Linked DNA regions of Lytechinus pictus. The protein of the gene in region 1 purifies or fractionates together with the protein of each later gene. This does not show direct contact. Links are inferred from orthologs where the notes say so. Each region holds a gene or a part of one and is shown in the gene's direction. Other genes may lie near its edges.

What was found.
Region 2: the proteins of probable 18S rRNA (guanine-N(7))-methyltransferase (region 1) and multifunctional methyltransferase subunit TRM112-like protein purify together in Homo sapiens (affinity purification with mass spectrometry; 5 studies listed by BioGRID and IntAct, counting the BioPlex papers as one, with this or other methods). This does not show direct contact. The link is inferred for Lytechinus pictus from reciprocal best matches to the Homo sapiens genes BUD23 and TRMT112.
Region 3: the proteins of probable 18S rRNA (guanine-N(7))-methyltransferase (region 1) and (E3-independent) E2 ubiquitin-conjugating enzyme-like purify together in Homo sapiens (affinity purification with mass spectrometry; 5 studies listed by BioGRID and IntAct, counting the BioPlex papers as one, with this or other methods). This does not show direct contact. The link is inferred for Lytechinus pictus from reciprocal best matches to the Homo sapiens genes BUD23 and UBE2O.

The regions. Positions count from the first base shown.
Region 1 is NC_087246.1:34,126,481-34,134,179, forward strand, and holds the start of probable 18S rRNA (guanine-N(7))-methyltransferase, read left to right. Parts: upstream 1-4,672; 5' UTR 4,673-4,705; intron 4,706-5,232; 5' UTR 5,233-5,239; coding exon 5,240-5,328; intron 5,329-6,830; coding exon 6,831-6,913; intron 6,914-7,699.
Region 2 is NC_087251.1:25,026,434-25,034,387, reverse strand, and holds the start of multifunctional methyltransferase subunit TRM112-like protein, read left to right. Parts: upstream 1-4,863; 5' UTR 4,864-5,007; coding exon 5,008-5,106; intron 5,107-7,954. UniProt on the Homo sapiens protein: Acts as an activator of both rRNA/tRNA and protein methyltransferases. Together with methyltransferase BUD23, methylates the N(7) position of a guanine in 18S rRNA.
Region 3 is NC_087254.1:31,378,377-31,385,366, reverse strand, and holds the start of (E3-independent) E2 ubiquitin-conjugating enzyme-like, read left to right. Parts: upstream 1-3,900; coding exon 3,901-3,924; intron 3,925-6,990. UniProt on the Homo sapiens protein: E2/E3 hybrid ubiquitin-protein ligase that displays both E2 and E3 ligase activities and mediates monoubiquitination of target proteins. Negatively regulates TRAF6-mediated NF-kappa-B activation independently of its E2 activity.

The DNA.
Region 1 (7,699 bases):
CGGTATAAAATATTCTTTATATTACATGTATACCATTTCTAACAATTGTAAATGAAAAAAAAAACATTTTGAAAATCAATATCTTGTATGTTGTTTAAGGAATTCCTTTTGTATTTCCTTGTTTTTTACCTTGTGTTTTTCTTTGTTCTTTTCACTAGATTTATTGCAGAACTTTTTTTAAGCATGATTATGCTAAGAATTTACTTCAGTTGATAAAAGAAAAACTGTAAAAATAACCATATCTCTTGGAATGAGATAATAAAAATCAACTTTACATTGATTTGACTTTGTACACAAATTCATGTTTTGGAGCAATTTGTGGTCTGATATGCACTTATGTCAGGCCTGACTTGCGTAATGTTGCATAATTTTGCAACCGGGTACCTGAGTATCACAAATTAGGTCACCAAAGATGTGCAAGACTTAAAGGGGAAGTTCACCCTGAAGAAAAGATTGTTGTAAAATAGCAGCAAAAGTAATAAAAAATATTGCCGAAGGTTTGAGGAAAAACCGTTAAAGATTAAGAAAGTTATTAGAATTCAAAGTTCTGGATTTGTGACGTCATAAACGAGCAGCTGCCCCATATGTTATGTAATATAAAATGCATGAATTTTAAATTTTGTATGGTTCCCGATGACTTAATTTTGTTTCTATTCATGATCGGGTGTGAAATGATTTGTATATTGATATACGAAAGGGACAGTAAAAAACCATTTTCAATTTTCTGAGAAAATGAGATTTCATTAATTTTTACCATTCGCTATGTAGGAATGCTGCTCGCATATGACGTCACAAATCAAATAATTAAAATTCTAATAACTTTTTAATTCTTTGATGAATTTTTCTCAAACCTTCGGCAATATTTTTAATTATTTTTTCTGCTATTTAAAAACAAACCTTTTGTCAGGGTGAACTTCCCCTTTAAAAGTAAAACATTAATGTTTGATCAATACATCACTTTTTTCATTCAATTATACTCTCTTGAATTTAATGTATTTCAAATTTCTATACTTCTACAATTAACACTTGGGCTGTCATTTTATTGGATTCTGAAATTCTATTCAAAATACAGTACATGCCAAAAGTTTTGGGCCACCCTTAAATTTAAAAGATAATCATACATAATACTGCATTCTGCATATAATCATATGTTTAGATACTGAACGGGCTATGACAGCTAGGTTCATTACATCACAAAAGCATGTTTCCAACCAGTTTTGACTGCTCTTTTGTGAACCCCAGTCGGTTTTCAGAATATATTCAAATTTAAACTTTAAAGGTATGCATAAAATTTCAATTTAAACCAAAGGTTGTTTTTGACAACCTGAAAGTTTGTTCAAGGCTTGTTCTGACATAGCAAAAAAAATATATGCAAACTGGATACTAGTAGAAGATATTTGAAGGTTTACATGGTGGCATGAACAGTCGCTGAAGTGGTTTTTACGGTACACCATATATAAAGTCTTGGCAAGGAGAGATAAAAGTGGATAGAGGTAGAAGAGAACTAGAGAGGCGAGAAAGTGGAGGTTAGAAAGTAGAGTGAGTATGTTTTGGAAATTAGTGTAGTCTTAAAGAGGACCGTAAACCAGAAATAGTGCCAAGCTTGAGCGGTAGGCAGGATGAGAGGCTTGAGTAGAAGGCTTGTTGAATTGGAGGGGTGAGAGAGGATTGAGTAGATGAGAGAAGGCTGGCTTGAGTTGGCGAGTTGAGTTGTAGAGCAGGAGAGAAGACTTGACGTTTGAGGCAGGTTGACTGTCCGATTGACAGGTTAACATGTATGATGTGTTGCTATGTCAGACCAGCCTTGGTCAAGCTTTCAGGTTGTCAAAAAACAACCTTTGCTTTAAATATATTCAAATTTTATGCATACCTTTGAAGTTTAAATTTGAATATATTATGAAAACCGACTAGGGCTCACAGAACTGCACTCAAAACCGGTTGGAAACATGCTTGTGTGATGTTTTGAACCTAGCTGGCATAGCCTATTCAGTATCAATACATTTGATTATATGCAGAATGCAGTGTTACGTATGATTATCTTCTAAATCTGAGGATGGACCCAAACTTTTGGCCTGTACTGTTATTGTTTAGATTGTCACCACTAATACTGGCTTGTTTATGTTTAAAGGTCAAGTCCACCTCAGAAAAATGTTGATTTGAATAAAAAGAGAAAAATTCAACAAGCACAATGCTGAAAATTTCATCAAAATCTGATGTAAAATAAGAAAGTTATGACATTTCAAAGTTTCGCTCTTTTTTAACAAAATAGTTATATGAACGAGCCAGTTACATCCAAATGAGAGAGTCGATGATGTCACTCACTCACTATTTCTTTTGTTTTTTATAAGCCTGAGTCATATCGATTATTTTGAAAACCGATGTTTGACAGCTTTAATTCGATCGAACATCGATGCATCGAAATTTGAAGGCGGGGAAAATCAAGTCATTTTTTTGGCTCCGGCCGGCCGTCGATGCATGCGCTATGCATGCACTATACATGCACTGACTGTCTGCGCTGGCCGGGTGAGCGTTGCAAAAGCAGATGACAGAGCAAAGTTCGTATGTATTTTCCATGATCACAAAACACAAAAAAGGCCGGGGAGCAATGCAGAATTCTTCCCAAAATATCTTCAACAATGATATTTGCAGATGATAACATATAAGTTTAAAATGAAACAATATTAAAGACATGAATCACGCAGAGTCGATCCGAATGATTTTCGGTCAACACGCATTCGCAGTCCAGACTCGCCCACACCACCCCTTCCGCAGCCAGCCCCGTACACTCACTCTCCCGAAACGACAGGCGTGCTTGCCAGCGCCATCTAACAAGTGCAAACAGCGGGGAGAGCGCTGTAACTTGCCTGAGATTGTGTAGTTGGATCCAAAATTAGCTCCAAATAAATTGATGGGAATAAATACGTAATTTTATCTGGATGGTCATTTGAATTGGTATTCAATGCTGATATAACGATTGTGAGGAAAGATTGTGGAATATGAGTTCTGGCGATGTTCGAGACTTTATAATCCTGATAATGATAATCCATTTTTTTAGACACAAGCGCTTGTGATCGAAATAAATACGAATGTCTCGGATCGATCTCTAAATTCATATAAATTATTATTGGATGTTAAATAATTACGATTTAATAAGATTTTATGGCCATACTAAAAATATTGACGACGTCAGCAAAGTATGTTGTGTTCATATGGAAGAATTCATTAATAGTATTATACTGGCATTATTTTTATTTTTTATTCCATCTCTGGACGTCTCTGAGCTCCAAGAAAAGAAGCACAATGCGCATGCGCATTCGATGACGTCTGACATATTTTCCATTCATGAAATCAGAGCCCAAAGTTGGGCACAAACGAGCTTCAAATTGATGGGAAAAAAATATCAAACATAATTTTTCTCTGTTTTGTCATGTAAAATATTATTATATGGTGATATTACGATCTTCAAAAGAGTTTCTACATGTTGACAATGTTCGATAATCAATCCTGACGTGATAATTATTTTTTTAGGCAAGTGCACTCACTCAAGTCGATCGTCATGTGATGTCCGCCATTTAAAATTGAAACGAAATACAAACGTTTCACATCAAGCTCTAAATTCATATTAATGATTATCATATGCAAATTATTGTTAAATATTACAATTAAATCATGTTCTATGGTCATGATATTAATATTGTTCATGAAAGCAAGATTTACTTTACGTTGATCGCGTCAATTTTCCGGCCATTTTCTGATTTGATTAAAGCACAGTACTGCGCATGCACGATCAATGGCGACTTCCATTCATAAATTCATCGTGCATAAATTATCTCGGCACGAGCAGGCGAGCCGGGCAGACGAGTAAGACTCGAACTATGATCAAAATAAACTTCAAATTAATGGTGAATAGGCATCATAATTACACAATCGGTTTCATTTTGGGGGCAATATAAATGAAGTAAGTAGTAGTCAAGTTGGATATTACTGTTTATTTTGATGTTTGATTGTGTGAACCAAACGAATCGGCCGGCCGACATATATTTTTTTTTTTTTTCGATGCACCGATTTTGCAAAATCTGCACCGGCGTTCGATGACATCGATCGAACACCGATTTTAAAATCGATTCGACTCAGGCTTAGTTTTTTATTGTTTGAATTATAAAATATTTCAATTTTTACGAATTTGATGATTAGGACCTCCTTGCCTGAAGCACAAAATGTTAAAATAATGGAATTCCACGTGTTCAGGGAGGAATGAAACTTCATTTCACATGACAATGACGAGAAAATCAAAATATTTCATATTTCATATAATAAAATACAAAAGAAATAGTGAGTGAGTGATGTCATCAGTTCCCTCATTTGCATACTGACCGAGATGTGCATATAACTGTTTTGTGAAATGAAGCGAAACTTTAAAATGTCATAACTTTCTTATTTTACATCCGATTTTGATGAAATTTTCAGTGTTTTGCTTGTTGAATTTTTCTCTTTTTATTCAAATCAAGTTTTTGTTGGGGTGGACTTGTCCTTTAAGAAGTTCAGTGTTTTAAACTGAAGTTATTAATATGATGAATGGTTACTGTGGTTTATGGCTTCAATTATTTGTCACAACTCTGTTATATACAATGATTATGTCATATCTTTTTTATTTGTTTATATTCCAGTTTTATAATGATGATGAAGCAAGGAAATACACATCTAAGTAAGTATATTCACTGCTTAATCAGATAGAGAAGTTATGCTAAGTTTTACTTCACTTGTTCACACAACACTGAAGAAAATAGTGAAGCTGTTGATAAAACCTTTCTCCAGTCATCCTGTGTACAAGAGATTTGCACAAAGTGTGTTGCTTCATGTACATTTTTCATCCCTTATTTTCTGAGGATAAGTATTGTTGTTGGTGTATAATGAAAACATGTTCTTTCACCAAGTCTCTTTTTTTTAAAAGCTTCCGCCGACCGTATGTGGTTGTGGAGGCGTAGTGTTTTTGGGTCGCCTGTCTGCCCCCTTTTGTTCTCTTGATAACTCACTGTTTGACGTACTGACTTCATATTTGGATCATACATTTGGGACTGACGATGAACTGCTTTGTTTTGGGGGTATGGAGGTGAGATGTTTAAGGTCTCGGAGGTCATTGTACACCTTAAAATGCATTGCACTGTTCATTTAATGACTCAAGAACCCGTTGACCGATCAACTTCATACTTTTTATCTCCTTTAATTCTATAGTTCAAGAATGATAGAGATTCAAATGACCATGTCTGAGAGAGCAATAGAACTCCTGTCTCTTCCCGAAGACACTCCTTCCTTCATTTTGGATATTGGGTAAGTTCCAATTGTTTAGACACCTCACCGAAAGTCCGTGCATGGTCATTCAGCATGAATCCTGTCATAAAGGCACTTTTCGGCTTTCAAGTGGGCTTACCGGCCTTTCATGCATTTGTTTTTGTCAATGTTGAAATATGAGGATTATCATTGACAGGGTTCCCAGCCCATCAGGGAAATGAGGGAAAATTATTTTACTTTTTTCCAGTCAGGGAAAAATCGGAATTTGATAAAAATACCTCAAATCAGGGAAAAATGCCTCAAATGAGGGAAAAATAAGGGAATTTTTTTGATCGGCCCAAAAGGAGAGAGCACGGTAGTCAGTCAGACTCTTATATTTTGTTGCATATCAAAACAACATCCATTGATTGACTGGTTATTGTGATTATGGGGTATGGTGGATGGCTTGATGGGGGAGAAGGGAGGCCATTATATGCCTGTGTAATAGCACTAATTAGTTTTACATGTACATTATTGTTTTTATACTGAAAATACATGTAATTCACTGCAACAACTTCGAAAACATGCGAAATTGGGAACGGGTTTAAATAATTATCAGGGAATTTTCAAACTTTATCAGAGAAAAATCCGAATTTTTTTTCTTGAAAAGCTGGGAACCCTGATTGAAACATTGTTTTGTTTTTGAAAAAACTATGAAGATTAACAATGAAACACATTTTGCGGGATTCCTGCTTGAAAGTCTAGCTCTCAATCTTGGTACATTGTCTCATTCTGCAACCAGTCAAATTCATTTAGTCTCACAGGAGACTATGGTATAACAGGCATTCTATGTAGTACTAGCTAAGATTTTGAGACGTTCATTTAATTTTTTTAGCAACCCCAGGCCCTGTAACATAGAGCTTCGTGATTGATCTTGTGTCAGATTTTGATGATTGATCATACACAATGATCAATGCAATCAATCATGGAAACCAGCCCCACGATCAATCGCTATGCTTTATGTTACCGGGCCCAGGGTCCCGTCTTACAAAGAGTTACGATTGATCTGATCAATCACAACTATGGACGGCCAGCAATGTCAACATGTATTATGCATGTTTGTTAAATAGAATTTTCTATTCATGCATTTGTTGTTTTCTTAAAAATTTACTGTGCTTCTCTTTGTTTACAAAGGACATTGTGCAAATATTCTGTAGATAAAATTATGGTATAGATGGATTTCCATAGAGTTACGTTTGATTGGATCAATTGTAACTCTTTGTAAGATGGGCCTTACAAAGAGTTGCGATTGATCCAATCAATCAGAACTATGGAAAGCCAGCAAAGTCAGAACTTCAGAATTAAATATTTACCTGATAATGTGTTTTAGTGAACAATCACATTTTGTTTGAAAGAATATGTATATGTTTGGGTTATAATAATTACACCACTTTCCTACTAAACTCCCATACAGTATTATAGTCTAATAATTATTTCCCAGGCTGTATAGTTGACACTTGTTTTATTTTCTCTCGACTCAATTTTTTTTTCCACCTTTGTAGTTGTGGTTCTGGTTTGAGTGGGGAAGCTCTGACAGAGCAAGGTCATCACTGGGTAGGAATGGATATCAGTTCAAGCATGTTAGGTAAGTTTGAATCTCTGTGCAGTTAATACAGGAACTGGTTATTTGTTATCTGTGTTCACTTCAGTTGAGGTTTCATAACCCAAAGTCAAAGCGGCACTTCACGCAGGAATCCTTTGCATCTCCTTTCTTGCTAATGACCACATTCGTCATCTAGACAATGCAATGGGGACTGTGGGGGTCGTCGCTGTGAAAGATGCATAGTGCCTATGAGGTGGGAGCCAAAGACATATCTCTTCCATAGCAGCTTTCTTGCATTCTCCATTGTTTTGTTTATGATGAACGTTAGGATTAGTCCTGAAAAGACGTTTGCAAGATTCCAATAAGAAAGATGCGGCTCTCACTTTTGGTAAGGTGCTTTGATTTAATTTCTGTTTGAGAACGTAAAAGCACATCCAGTGTAATAGTCTAGATAATAATCATGCATTTTTTAAAAGTAAATGTGAATAAAAAAACCCAGTCAATCAAACAATAGTAGCTTTTAGTGATTATTATTAGTTTGTACAAGAACTACTGCTGATGGGTGTTTCATAAAGCTGTTCGTAAGTTAAAGGACAAGTCCACCCCAACAAAAAGTTAATTAAAATAAAAAGAGAAAAATCCAACAAGCATAACACTGAAAATTTCATCAAAATCGGATGTAAAATAAGAAAGTTATGACATTTTCGCTTAATTTCACAAAACAGTTAAATGCACATCCCGGTCGGTATGTATATGAGGGAAGTGATGACATCACTCACTCACTATTTTGTATTCTATAATATGAAATATTCTAATTCTCTCCTCACT
Region 2 (7,954 bases), on another chromosome or scaffold:
CCTCTCCTTCTTTCTTTGTTTTTTTTTCTAATTATTATTATTATAAAGACTATCGTATCTTACAGGTTACCACATGATCCCGTCCCTTCTTACGACACCGTCCAGACATCGTCCTATCTCTCCGGTGTAGACAGGGGCTCCCTTTGGGATACTCTATAGTCTTGAAACTCGGAAAAGAAATAAAGAAATAAACTGTTAAAGAGTCTTTTCCCGTGAAATGATCTCGCATATACCAATCAAATACATGTATGTCCGTTTTGTTTTGTAAAGAAAAAAGATAAAATTTGATATAGAAAAAAGATAAAATTTGATATGGGGAGGTTCGGATGATTCGAAATTTATGGGGGCATCCAAAATGAGGGCTTTAATAAATGAGATGGCACATTGTTAAATCAAGGTTGTAAGTTATATGGACATGGAGATGGTGTTAGTAAACAAGATATATATATATATAACACACATGCATATACATATTTTTTCCCTTTCTTCCATTTCTTCATCTTTATTCCTTTTCCTTTAATTTCTTCTCCTTTTCTTTCCATTCTTCTTTTTTTTCTTTTTTTTCTCCTCCTTCCTTTCCTTTTCCTTTCTTTTCCCTTTCATTTTCTCTTACTTTCCTTTGTCTTTCTTTTTTTTCTCTTCTTCTTTTTTTTCAAAATGGATAATAACCGGGGATAATAAGCTCTACTGAATACAAAGAATATAACCTAGACTAGTATCCCGTAATTAGTAACCAACTGGAATAAAATTATTGGAAATGGTTTTTTGACTGATTTGAGTAGGTATGGGTGTCAACATTTACCCAAAAAAAGTTAGGAGGAATACGGGTTGGGGAAAGTGCTTTTTTTCAAGGTCAAAGGTCAATGACCTTTTTAAATATACTGTATCATGGTAGCTCCCAGATAAAATATTACAGGTTGGTGATCATGGTGTCAAAATGCACAGATTCTTACAAGAAGATCAAATAAAATCAAATCAAGTACCTACAATGCTCATTCACCCATGAAATTCAAGGTCAAAGCCTTTCAAAGTTCAATGACCTTTATTACATTATATACCATATACGGTATAATGGTATCTCTGAGATGAAAAGGTTTCAGGTTGGTGATCTAGGTGTCAAAATGCAGAGGTTCTTACAGGAAGATCAAATAAAATCAAATTAATTACCCAGAATGCACATTAAACAATAAAATTCAAGGTCAAAGCCTTTCAAAGGTCAATGACCTTTTTTCTACATCATATACCATATACGGTATAATGCTATCTCTCAGATGAAAAGGCGCAGGTTGGTGATCTTGGTTTCAAAATGCACAGATTCTTACAAGAAGATCAAATGAAATCAAATCAAGTACCTACAATGCTCATTCACCGAATGAATGAAATTCAAGGTCAAAGCTTTCAAAGCTCAATTACTTTTTTTTACATTGTATACCATATACGGTATAATGGTATCTCTGAGATGAAAAGGTGCAGGTTGGTGATCTTGGTGTCAAAATGCAGAGGTTCTTACAGGAAGATCAAATAAAATAGAATTAAGTACCCAGAATGCACATTAAACTATAAAATTCAAGGTAAAAGCCTTTCAAAGGTCAATGACCTTTTTTACATTATGTATCATACTGTATAATAGTATCTCTGAGATGAAACGGCACAGGTTGGTGATCGTTGGATCAAAATTCCCAGATTCTTACAGGAAGATCAAATAAGATAAAGTTAATCACCTAGAATGCATACTAACCCATAAAGTTCAAGGTCAAAGGTCAGTGACCTTTTTACATAGGCTATATATCGTCTAAAGGTATCTCTGAGATAAAACGCTGCATGTTGGTGATTTTGATGTCAATTCAATTTTTGCAAGAAGATAAAAAAGACTCAAAATAATCATACAGAATAATCCAATATCCAAAGTCAAAGGTCAAAAGTTGATAAATATTTATATATCCATGCATGATTCCCCCCAAAAAGAAATTAATCCATTATATTCACATTTTATTTGTGAATAATAGAAAGAAAGATAACTATTTGTAATGAACACTTGGAAGTCTAATAATTTCACTCTGAAAGAAATAAGGATAAAAAATGGCCATGGAAAATATATTTAGGAGTTAAAGGTCAATCAACTATGTCAATAGCGTCAGGGAATTTAAGTAAATAGGTCGATATAACGTGATTGTGGCATGTAGGTATAGTGATTCTGATGGGAAAAAGACTGACCTGCGTGGAAAAAGAACACAAATTTAATAGTTGAATCCTTGACCAATGATGATGTCAAAATACAAGTTCGAGGTACAAATTGGATCAAATAGCACTTTTTCTTATAATATACTGTAATGCATTGACAAAAGTGTTTAAAAAAAATCATGTGTGATATAATTTGAAATGGTGACAATGGTGAAGTTACCTAAAGTAGCAGCATTTAGATATGCATTTTATAAATCTAAATCAAGGTACTAATTTCTCTGTAGCAATAGGTCACTAACCTCAAATGCTACAATCAATACTATAACACTATAACTTAATCTGTAAATGGAAAGGATAGGCCTAAGTCTCATGGCAAGCATCATCCGAGAACATTTGCATATAGCCAGGGACAATGACGAAGAATTAAAATAAGGCAATCATTAGAGCTGCAGCTTTTTTTGTCATAGATGAAGTTAAGTGTCTCAACTTCAGCAAAGAGTAATTGGACTCTTGAAAACCTTCTGACATTTTCAAGACTTTGATATGGCCCATTCAATGAAAGCCTAACGTTCTGTCAAGGGATATCAGACCAGGATCTATATTATTACTGATAATTGCACAGCTTGATTCTCAAGAACTGGAAGTGGTGCTATGAGTTTTGTTAGGTCGATGGATGTGTACTTGTAAGCTATTATCTCCTTTTGAATGGCATTGTTATATGCCTAATTTGTGCATGCTAACAATCAGTTTTCTGGACCAAAAACATGATCCTTGTACAAACTGATACCTAGTAGAAATAGCATCATGGGTGACGTACGGCAGAGAGCAGATATGAAGGTTTGTCTTGCAGCATTAGCATCACAAGAGATTCTGGCAGCTCGCAATGAACTGATGAAAGGTACTAATAATACGGGAATTTACCTTTGTTGAAGTTGATATATATATAATTTACTACATGTATATGACAGAAGCTGCAGCTCTAATGATGGCCTTCATTTCATCATCATCCCTCTGCTGTTTGGAAATGCTCTCAGATGATGCTTGCTGTGACATGAGAGTTAGACCTGTCCTATCCATTTTCAGAAGATTAAGCTAATAGTTTATAGTATTTATTATAGCATTGAGATGAGTGGCCTATCGCTGGAGAGAAAAGACACGACAACCTTGATTTAGATATAATGATGCATTAAATGCTGCTACTTAAGATAAAAATCATTTCAAATTATATACTTGATTTCATGTATTTTTTCAGTGCTTTTGGCAATGCATCGCAGTATATGAAAAAGTGTTATTTGGTTATCAACTTTTTAAACTTCATTTCCACTGATATTTTGGAAAGGGCTCATTGACCTCTGACCCCAAAATACATTCTCCATGGCCTTCATTATTTCAGACCGAAATTATGAAACCTCCATGTTTTCATTACAAATTAGCCATGGTTATTTACATATTATTCAGATATAAAATATGAACACAAAAGATATTGTTTTGGGTTATTTTTACATCATATAGATTATATATTTCTTCTGATCTAGGATTTCAAGGGTGAAAGTTTATTCTTTATACTTATTTTAGTGTTGTTTAATCTTCTTGTACAAGTCTTTGGATTTTGGCACCAAGATCACCAACCTGCGGTGTTTTATCTCAGAGATACCATTATTATCATCTAATGTTAAAAAGGACATTGACCTTTGTCCTTGAATTTTATGGGTGAATGTGCATTCTCTATGCTTAATTTTATTTTATCTTCCTGTAAGAATATGCGTGTTTTGACACCAAGAACACCAACCCGCACCGTTTTATCTTAGAGATACAATTATATAATATGGTATATGTAGTATAAAAGGTCATTGACCTTTGGCCTTAAATTTTATGCGTGAATGTGCATTCTAGGTACTTAATTTTATTCCATTTGATCTTCTGGTAAGAATCTGTGCATTTTGACACCATGATCACCAACCTGTGCTTTTTCATCTCAGGGATACCATTATACAGTATGGTATATAATGTAAATAGGTCATTGACCTTTGAAAAGCTTTGACCTTGAATTTTATTGGTGAATGTGCATTCTAGGTACTTAAGTTTATTTCATTTGATCTTCTTGTAAGAATCTGTACATTTTGACACCATGATCACCAGCATGTACCTTATCATCTCAGAGATACCATTATACGGTATGGTATATAATGTAAAAAAGGTCATTGACCTTTTGAAAGGCTTTGACCTTGAATTTTATAGGTGAATGTGCATTTTAGGTCATTAATTTTATTCTATTTGATATTCTGGTAAGAATTTGTGCATTTTGACACCATTATCACCAACCTGCGCCTTTCCATCTCAGAGATACCATTATACAGTATGTACGAAAAGGTCATTGACCTTTGACCTTGAAAAAAAGCACTTTCCCCAACCCGTATTCCTCCTAACTTTTTTTGGGGTAAATGTTGACACCCATACCTACTCAAATCAGTCAAAAAAACATTTCCAATAATTTTATTCCAGACTCAGAGAAGAGAGATATATTATTCTAAAACAAACAGAACAATGACCATCGTCTATGTGGCCTCATACTCATATAAAATACATATATATACACAATTACACACATATGTATCTATATGAACAAATAAGTAATTAGATACTAATCAAATAGATATTTTTCTCTATTTCCTAGTCTGAGGTATAGACTAGTTTATGTATCCCATCGTGCATTACGGTTTAAATATGGCAGCCCCCATGTCAATTGAAATGTAATGCATGCATGCACGCAATTACACGCGCATTACCATTAGATACAAGATTTCGCATCGTTGTCGTTGACGTTAGATGAGATCGACAGTAGTTAGGACAATGAAGTTACTTACACATAATATGCTGACTTCTCATGTCAAAGGAGTGAAAAATGGATACCCTTTAAAAATAGAGGTAAGATACTAAGTCAAGACTAAGATCTGAAGTGAAGATTAAACAGTTAAATAAGATTAAACAGTTAAAATAGATCTAACTTTATTTTTAAGTACCGGTAGGCCTAGACCAAAAGCTTCGGTCTGTGTTATGTTGGTTGTTCAGCTGAACTCCGTTGGCTTCACTCACCAAATACAGAGACCGAAGTTCTAGCGCGATCTGTACAGGGGACTCAATGGCCATATGTTTATGTACTTAAGATCGGATAAAACGAGGAAGTGAATTTGCGCGACAGCCGAGGTAAGTCACTGTTTTTGTTCCTTTTAACTTGATTTTTCTCCGTTTTTTGGCAATTGATGCCAAGAGGGAATATTAATTTGCATTTTGGTCGCGTGAATTTTCAAAATTTTTACTCATTAAAGACAAAAATTGAAGAGCCCCGACGGGGGGATTTTGCATTGCAAGTCCCCTAATGGTGGCTGCACGCTAGCGAGCCGTCTGTGTATGAGGAGAAATTAAAAAAAAAAAAAAATGTTAAAAAACTCCTCGAAACAGAGTAACAGACGGCTGCCAGCTGTCTACGGTAGGCCTAGAATAGATCTAACATTAAAGTTAGAACCTAACGTTAGTTAATAGTAGTGCAGACACAACTGTATTTTTCCAGTAGATGCGGTATAAAGGTATTAAAGGCATAAAGACTAAGTTTTAAGATAAGAATATAAATTTCAGAAAAGACAGAAGTGAGACTGCATCAGGGTGACCAGATTTCACAAAGTGAAATACAGATTACAGGAGAATCGACAAAGGTCAAAGCACGCTGCACAAGCGGATCGACCGAGGCCGAGCCAGGTCTTAATAAAAAGAAGATCAACAAAGAAGGCTACACTGTACACAGACACAGTGTTAGACTTGTAAGTTGTAAAAAAAATAAACAATTGGAAGGGAGGATGAACGAAAGAATGAAGGAGAGAAAGAAAAGAGATGAATTGAAAGAAGAAAGAAAGAAAAAAGGGAAAATGCAGGAAAAAAGGAAGTTAGAATAAAAGAAGGATGAAATAAAGAATAACAGAGATTAAAGGTTTCCGTCATTCTTTGAATTGAAAAAAGAAAAAGAAAAACTGAAAGAAATGGAAGATGAACAAATGTGTGAAAGAATTAAAAAATAAAGGAGAGAAAGGAAAAGGGTAAGAAAAAAGGAGGAAGCGGAAAGAAAGAATGGAGGAAAGAAAAATGTTTCCTTCAGAAAATGAAAAAGAAACAAAGAAAGAAGAAAAACAGGAAGGGAGGGAAAGAAAGAAAGAATAAGGGAAAATAATTAGAAGGGAAAAATTAAATAAAGAATGAAAGAAAGGATGAAACAGAGGGAGGAGAGAATGAAAAAAAAAGTAATGGAACTAGTAGTAGTAGATTAGAGAATGAACAAAGATAAAAAGGAGAGGAAGGGAGAAGGAAGCAAAGCAAAGTTTAAGGAAAGAAAATTAATGAAGTAAATAAAAAAAGTAAATTTAAAAAAGAAAGAAGGAAAGACAGAAAAATGAACAGAGATAGAGAGAGACTAAAAATCAGGAAATAAAGATTCATGGAATGAAAAAGGGGCAAGAAGAAAAGAACGAAAGAGGAAATAGTTCAAACTTCTATATATATATTTTTTTTTATAAAAAAAACCTAAAATGTTTAAAAAATGAAGGAGGCGCGATAGCTCAGTCAGTAGAGCGGGGGTTTCGGATTCCGGTGACCCGGGTTCGATTCCCAAGTGGTGCGCTAGTGCCCTTTGGTAAGGCATTCATCCTCATTACCAGGTCCCTCTGAGAGGACCTTAAGCCGATGGCCTCTGGTTACTTGCTCACAGGCATTCGTGCTTTCTTAGCAGTCAGGTGAAAACCTCGGTATAACAATAAAATTTCAAAGTGAAACATTGTCAAATTTAAATATTAGATGAAACAACGCAGCATGCATCACACACAAGGAATCTCTCTTAGGCCCATCCCATTACAAGATCGCATCGATCACAAGACTCAAAACAAGAGCTGAAACAATACTAGATCAATATAATTATGAAAACTTGATAACTTGTTCCTCTGATTACATCACCAAATCAGTAATATAATATCATAATAAAAATTCCCCGCCGATTTTGTGATGATTTTGGTGGAAAAACTGTTTATCATGTGAGATTGTTTGCACCATTGAGAATCTGCTCCGATCCACCATGCCGAGCTAGTAGCCTGCCACACATTCATTTGCAATGTATTCATGGTGTTGAGTTAGCAAGAAAATCACCGCAGAACTTGCACAAGTTTACAGTTATCGATTTTATTGTTATCTCTGCCCCGATCTCTGCTTCGTCATCTGTTGGTTATTTGATGAAAATTCTCCACTTTTAAATATATTAACTATATTTTGTTCAATATTCTGAAATACGGGGACAAATAGGCATCCCGTGAAGGATTTGTCGGGACGCCGGGACAAAGGAGCAAAATACGGGACGATCCCGGGAAATACGGGACGTCTGGTCACCCTGGACTGCATGGAGTTGGACTGAGTGAGACTGAGAGTGAGACGTCTTCTAATTTTGTAAAGTATTACGTTAGAACTAACGTTAGAACTTTTAGAAGAACAAAGTTAGGCCTAGCCAGGAGGCTGAGTCCTGGTAAAGAGTAAATATCATTCACCAACGTGTGTTTACTCTCCACAGAGCTCGCCGCCAGCGCCAGGGATTGCGTCCTATTCATATACGTATAGTCTACCGCGAAAAAAAATGACCGGGGTATACTATAGTATAGGGTCTATCTGCAGATCTGTGAATGTAATTGAAAACATGGTATTACTATTGGTAAAGCGCTTAGAAGTTAAGAGATGTCGTTCCGAT
Region 3 (6,990 bases), on another chromosome or scaffold:
TTCATTTACTACTTTGGCAATAGAAAGCAAGTCACACCATCTAGCATTGATTGATATTGGTTGTTTTACAACTGTCCAATAAATATCACCATTAATCAATTAAGCATCTAAGCACTTATAGATGTCATTGTTTTCAAATATTTGAGTAGAACAAATAAAGAAGAGAGCAGTACCAGTAATTTAATATTTTTTTTAATGTGACTTTACTTTCTTCGCCAAAGTGAGGCAGTCATAATTAAGAGTGTTTTAACTTACAAGTGACATCACATTTCCTGCCTTCTTGTCTGGCTCTCCTAAACCTTCAACCATTTATACTTGTGTAACTTTGTATCTCATGTCTGTCTGAAAAGTTTGGTTGAAGCCTCCACCTGAAGGAAAAATAGTATTGAAATAACTAATTAAAATATTTGCCATAATCTGGTATTTCTTCTCACATGTATATGTACATGTCTAAAAACAGGAAATAAAACATCTTTTGATTACCAGGTTTCATATAGAAGGGGGTAAATAAAGGGTTCAAGTTTTTATTATGTTAATAAAAAATACAAACAATAGTAAAAATGACATATGCTCTGGCTGAGAAACTTAAAAAGTGAAATTATTCCTCACAATGTAGCTTGTATGTACATACACATGAGCAAGTAGTGCTAAATGGATTGAGGGGTGAGAGCAGGGGCTCCGGAAACCGGCGGGGGGGGGGGGGGTGCATGTTAGCTGCAGGGTCAGCGGAACGGTTTTTACAGTGAACGGGCTGACCATGCAAAAAATCGTAACCAGATGGTCATTTCATATTTTTCAGCCCCCGCACTGTTTTCCAAAACCATGTACAAAAATGTAAAATTGACCATCTGCTTATGATTTTTTGCATTGGTCAGCCCCCCCCCCCCCCCCCCACTTTCGGCTCAGCCCCCTCACTTTCAAAACCGTTCTGCTGACCCTGCAGCTAACATGCAAAATATATTGAATCTATTATGTCTTTCATGCTTATGTAATGTTTGCATTTCAAACTGACTTTAAATAGAAAATCCGGTCACAGTCCGATTTCATTGTCATTGATGTGGGTTTTTATGATTTTACATTCTGCAACCAAAACAATATCCTTCATTATTTTTTAATCATTATCGCATTTTACTAGTCTACATGTTACCTGTGGTTGCATTTCAATCTCGGTATTTCTTCACCCATTGCCAAATCTTCTGTCACATGTTCATCAAATTGGCCGCTGGCACATTCCTTGCTGTAGTAGACCAGTCAGAGCCTTGCTTTCTAGTTCCAGATCCGTCTTCTTCTGCATACTGTTCAAATGTCCATAGTCTGAAATTAAAATATTAATAATATCACATTGTTATACATGTAGCAAAGAAAATATGTAGATTTACAGTGATCATTGAAAAATACTGCACTTTCAATGAATATTGTTGACATTTCATAAAGGGGAATGATCGAATATACCAATCATTTTTCTTCTTTTATTATCCTGAAATTTATAGAATTTACCAACAATCGGTCAACAATTTATCCTTGTTAATTCATATAATTTTCACTTGATTATAAACAAGACGGTAATTAACACATTAACCATACAAAATAGTAAAACAGCTTTTTCAATAATTTTTTTTTTAAATTAAAAAATAAAAATAAAAGTTTTTTTCAAACTCAATAGCGCTTGGATACCTTGCCGGTTAAAAGCCACAATCAAATTAATAAAAAATATGAATAGGCTCCTAATTCATAACTGCAGCAAATTGCATCCCCATCAAACCATCAAACTGTCAACTATTTCTGGACTGTGACCTTTGTTCAATGGAACTTTAATATGAGATTCAAGGCAGAAAAATACTTGGGATTGATGAGATCCATTCCATATTCTCCTATATTTTTTTCTAATGAAGAGACCTTTAACCTTTACATGCTATTTAAGGTTAGGTATGACTAGACTCTAACTTTATGTGGTACGACAGTATTTTTCAAAAAATAGATTAAGAGACATTATCAACAATAATTTAATTTATTTACCCCAATAACACCGATGCTATTGCAGATTCATGCTAAATAGTAATTTGTCTAAAAAATTGACTTAGAAAAATAAAAGCCAAACAAACTTCATAATCGCACACAAATGAAGAGCATTATTTCGTCTCCCCCAAATTGGACGATCAATATTTTTTTTTAAAGGGAGCTATGAAATGGCTCATTTCACTTGGGTGCGCAAAGTCAAAGATAATTTAAGATAGATCTAGGCCTATAAGCTATACCAGTACGGCCACGGGCCGGTTGCACTATTTAAAACTTAGATCTAATAATTTTTTTATATCTAGATTTTAATTTTTATTGGGTGTGAACGCACCTCTGCCACAATCGCATCACCCCCCCCCCCCCGCCCGAATCCTCGACAGCTGTCGAGAGCCTTCACTTCATTCGACTTGTGACTTGCTAAGGCTAAGCCTACATTAATAGTTGAGAACATCCACTTTACAAATTTACCACTCACACTATTACCATGTGATTTAGCTCCTGTTCAATTCCAATTTCTGTAACACAGAATTAGGATGGCCCCATTGGATATGTGTACATTTACAATTGCACACGCTGGTTTGCCTGGTGATCAAGCCAATCTCCGACTACACCGAGCAACAAAATTATTACAAAACCAAAGGAAATGAAAAAATATGATTTGCAACATAGAATGACATAAAGGTAGAACAATATAAAGAATTCTCTTTGCAAAATTTATAACATTGCAGCCATGTGCGGATCATAAAAACGTGACAGCCGTGAGCCGTGTCGTTAGTTTGGACCTGAGATAGTTCTACAGACACAGAAACACGGGTATGGGACTAGACTGGATTTTGTACTGTCAAGTTCACCGATCGTATCGACAGGGGTCCTGCCAGAAGATCCTCTTTTCTTGTAATTCATTTGATAATCACGCACAACGAATAATTCAATCACCTTACATACAATATGAACGACATTTTGAAGGGTTTTACTTACGGTAAAATCCTCATTCACCTCTACGAGGACCTTCGCTTCTTCTCATTTCTTCGTTTCATTTCGAATCGTCGTGGCGAAAACATCAATCAATTTTACATCTTTTTCACGACTTTGGGAGTGGGCGTGGCCTAATTAGTCAGCGAACCTCGTTCAAGACGATTTGTAAAATAAAAATTCTCTGACAATAGTCAGAGGAGCTCCGAGAGTTTGATGAAACGAATTTTTGTCAGCGCTGACTAAATTGTCAGCGCTGACAATTTTAGTCAGCGCTGACAGTTGTCGGACGAAAATATTGATGAAACACCCCCCTGGTCACTATAAATGAGGGGACTGATGACATAAGGGCAATTCCATGGAAAATGTTCACTTTAGAGAAAAAATGAAGTTTCAGATTTCACTTAAGCAGTTAAATTTTCTTAAAAAGTAATCTATAAAGTTTCAATTTCCAATAGAAAAATTGCAATATTGATAAAATTTTGTATTTTTTTCCATCATAAAAAAAATTGAATAGTAAATTGCAAAATCTAAAAAACGTGGCTATTTTTAAACAATTCATCTTTTCTGTCTCTACTAAAAGCAAATAAGGTCCCAGAGGTCTCTTTTAACTTCTGAATAGTTGATTAATGTTTACATCAATACAAAATCATCATTAAATTTTATGCCATTCATCAATTTTAAAGAAATCGATCTTCAGATTTGTGTGATTTCTTTATCATTTTCAGTGTCATGTCCGTTACGTTTTTCACTTAAAGTTTTCACAGCTTACAGGAAATTTGTCTGAAGGTACTGCAGATTCAGATTCTATGTTAGAATTAATCCCCCTACCATGTGTAGCAATCATTTTCCCTTACCACTTCTCATTTTCATAAAAATGGCGTAACGGACATGACAAATCGTGTAACGGACATGACGCCTTATATACGACAAAAGGTAGCATTCACAAAAACAAAATATTAGGCTCAGTGTCACAGACTGAGGTCAGTCTCAATTGCTTGAGGATAGCTGGATGTAATAACTCCTAAAATCTGCATGTCATTCAAGCTATTTTTCGAAGTTGGTGAATGATGAAAGTTCAGCTCTTGTTCTGGTATATTTTTCTGAGAATTAACAATATGCCACATAATATTAGGATAAGATGCAGCTAGATCTGGCAACATACTCAGATCACAATCTGTATCATTTGTGTTTGAACAATACGATTGATTATCTTAGGTGTTTGCACTGACAGTTTGGAGCATGATAAAATTCCAACTTGTGAATTCATGAGATCATTGATGATATTGCTTCAAAGTATCTGACTTTCACCAACCTCAACTTCTTCAGTGATGGCACGGGCTCACATTTAAAAACAAGTTTGTATTCAGATATCTGTGTTACATGATGTAGCTCTATGAATCCATGAATCTACAGTGGCACTTCTTTGCAATATCACAAAGCAAAGGGGCTATGGAAGGAATGTGGCGCTATCAATAAATTATGTCATCATAGTATTTTGGTCAGCCATAATCACGATTTGAATGATGTATCTTCATTTGTACACAAGCAGCACGGACAATGCAACATAATTAGATACAGCCACATTTGTCAGCAAGCAAGATAGTAAGATTTAGAACATCCAAGAATTGATGAAAGGATGATTATACTCAGGATGATATTTATTTTGAATGAAAAAAAATCTCAGAAGCGATTTACAAACATTCCGATTACCTTTCAACTCATACATAATCGATAATGAAAGACTGGTTTCCAGGTACTGCTATTAAATTTTAAAATACTTTTTAATATCATTTTTTTATCTTAAAACTGACATTAATACTAGTTCATATTATTCTTTATCATAAAATATATTTCATATGTTCATCTTGGATTTATACAGGTCTGGTACATTTTGTTTTCTTCTCACAAAAAATGAGATTTGGTCTTCTCAGTGTGCCGTAGGCCGTAGCGGTACTATTAAGCATTGTATTCTATATAAAATTATCATGTAGGCTTTAGCTATTAAATTAATAATACCTGCCAATAATATCTACATATTTTTCTTTAGAATGTTAGTAAAGGTACTTTGCTGTTACATAATTACATTCATTCATTCATATTTCTTTCATTTTGAAACTAAGAAGTGCTGATGAAGTTCACTTCGTAAGGGTGTCATGTCCGTTACGCTAAGTACATTGTCAAATAGTAAGCCATGACTAAAAGATAATCTTTACTATCAACTTTTTCTCTTTTAGTTTGGTGTTGCAGATGGTAGTAACTGGAAAATACTCATTAACTGTTGTTAATTGGTGAAAAATAAATTTTTCTAAATATTTGTTTGTTTTATAAATATTGTACGAAAAGCCCCTCTCTCAAATTGCAAAATAATAGGAGATATTACAGATTACCAGTTATGATGTGTGTCTCTAACCTCTAGCCTTAACATGTAAACAATTAGACTTGTACCATATCTTGTAATAAAATAATTATATTTGCTTACAAAAAGTGGACGAAACTGTCATGTCCGTTACGCTTCGTGTGTCATGTCCGTTACGCTTCGTGTGTCATGTCCGTTACGCTACATTTTGAGCTATGAATACAGAATGCACTGCAAAACTGTTGTTAAACACTATTTTATGGATAGAGCATGATCTTAAGGTTAAATCAACACCAACATCAGGTGCATGCAATCTAAGAATTCACAGGAATTTTGATAAGCAATAGGAGGTAAAAATGCTTCGTCCATTTCGTGTCATGTCCGTTACGCTCACAAAGAGTGCAATTTCTCAGCAACTGTTCAACGAAACGATTTGAAATTTCATGTGTATGTAACTGATACTTAAATGTGTCTGATAAGCTCAGTAACAATTATCAAAAGACTGCTAATTCTACTGTATTTACCTTTGAATTATAAAAATTTGTCTGAACGTCATGTCCGTTGCGCTGGAATTGACCATAACCCACTCACTATTTCTTTTGTATCATATTATATGAAATATTTGAATTTTCTCCTCATTGTCATGTGAGCAAAGTTTCGTTCCTCCCTTAACATGTGGAATTTGATTGTTTTTACATTTTGTGGTTCGAACAAGATGGTCATAATTGTCATATCCGTAAAAAAATGAAATATTGTATAATTCAAACAATAAAAACAAAAGAAATAGCCAGTGAGTGACATCATCAACTCTCTCATTTGCATATCGCTGAGTTGAGCATAGAATGAGTAAAATAAAAATACAAAAATAGAGAGAGAGAGAGAGATGGAGAAAGAGAGAATTCAGATCAATTAGTAATAAATTTATAAAAAAAAATTACCCCTCTCCAAGAAAGAAATTAAAAAGCTATAATTCACAACTATAAGCTAAGTGATTTTGGATTATTAAGGCTCCGTTTTGACAAGCAAACGTTTTAAAATGTCATAACTTTTTTGTTTTTCATCCGATTTTGATGAAATTTTCAATGTTGTGCCAGTCTGATTTTTCTCTATTTATTCAAATCAATATTTTACTGGGGTGGACTTGACCTTTAAGTACCTTGTTACCTAGGCCATCTGGCCTGGGAGATTTGTGTGTTTGTAAGCCTGAAAATATTCTTCTTACGTCATGCTCAGAAATTTGGATAGGTGTTTGATCAGGCATCTCGTTCACCTTACTTTTGATTCCTTCATTTTCACTACCAAAATTTTCAACATCAAAACGACATTAAAAATTATTTAGATCATCAACAAAACCAATATCTTGTTCTGTTGGCACAGATTTTGATTTATCTTTGTTGTATCGAGTAATATCCTGCATTGTTTTCCATGCCTTTCTGGGGTTATTATCTCAAGAGTTCCGTTCAATCTTTTCTTTGTAGGAACTTTTACATTTTTCCGTCTGCTGCTTGATTTTTCATTGGGTTTCTCTCAGTAACTCCGTATTTCCTGTCGAAAGCGCTGCACCCTTCTCCCTGAGTAAATCGCAAAGTTCTTTATTAACCCACGGCTTGTTGTTAGGATACACCTTAACTCGTCTGTTTGGC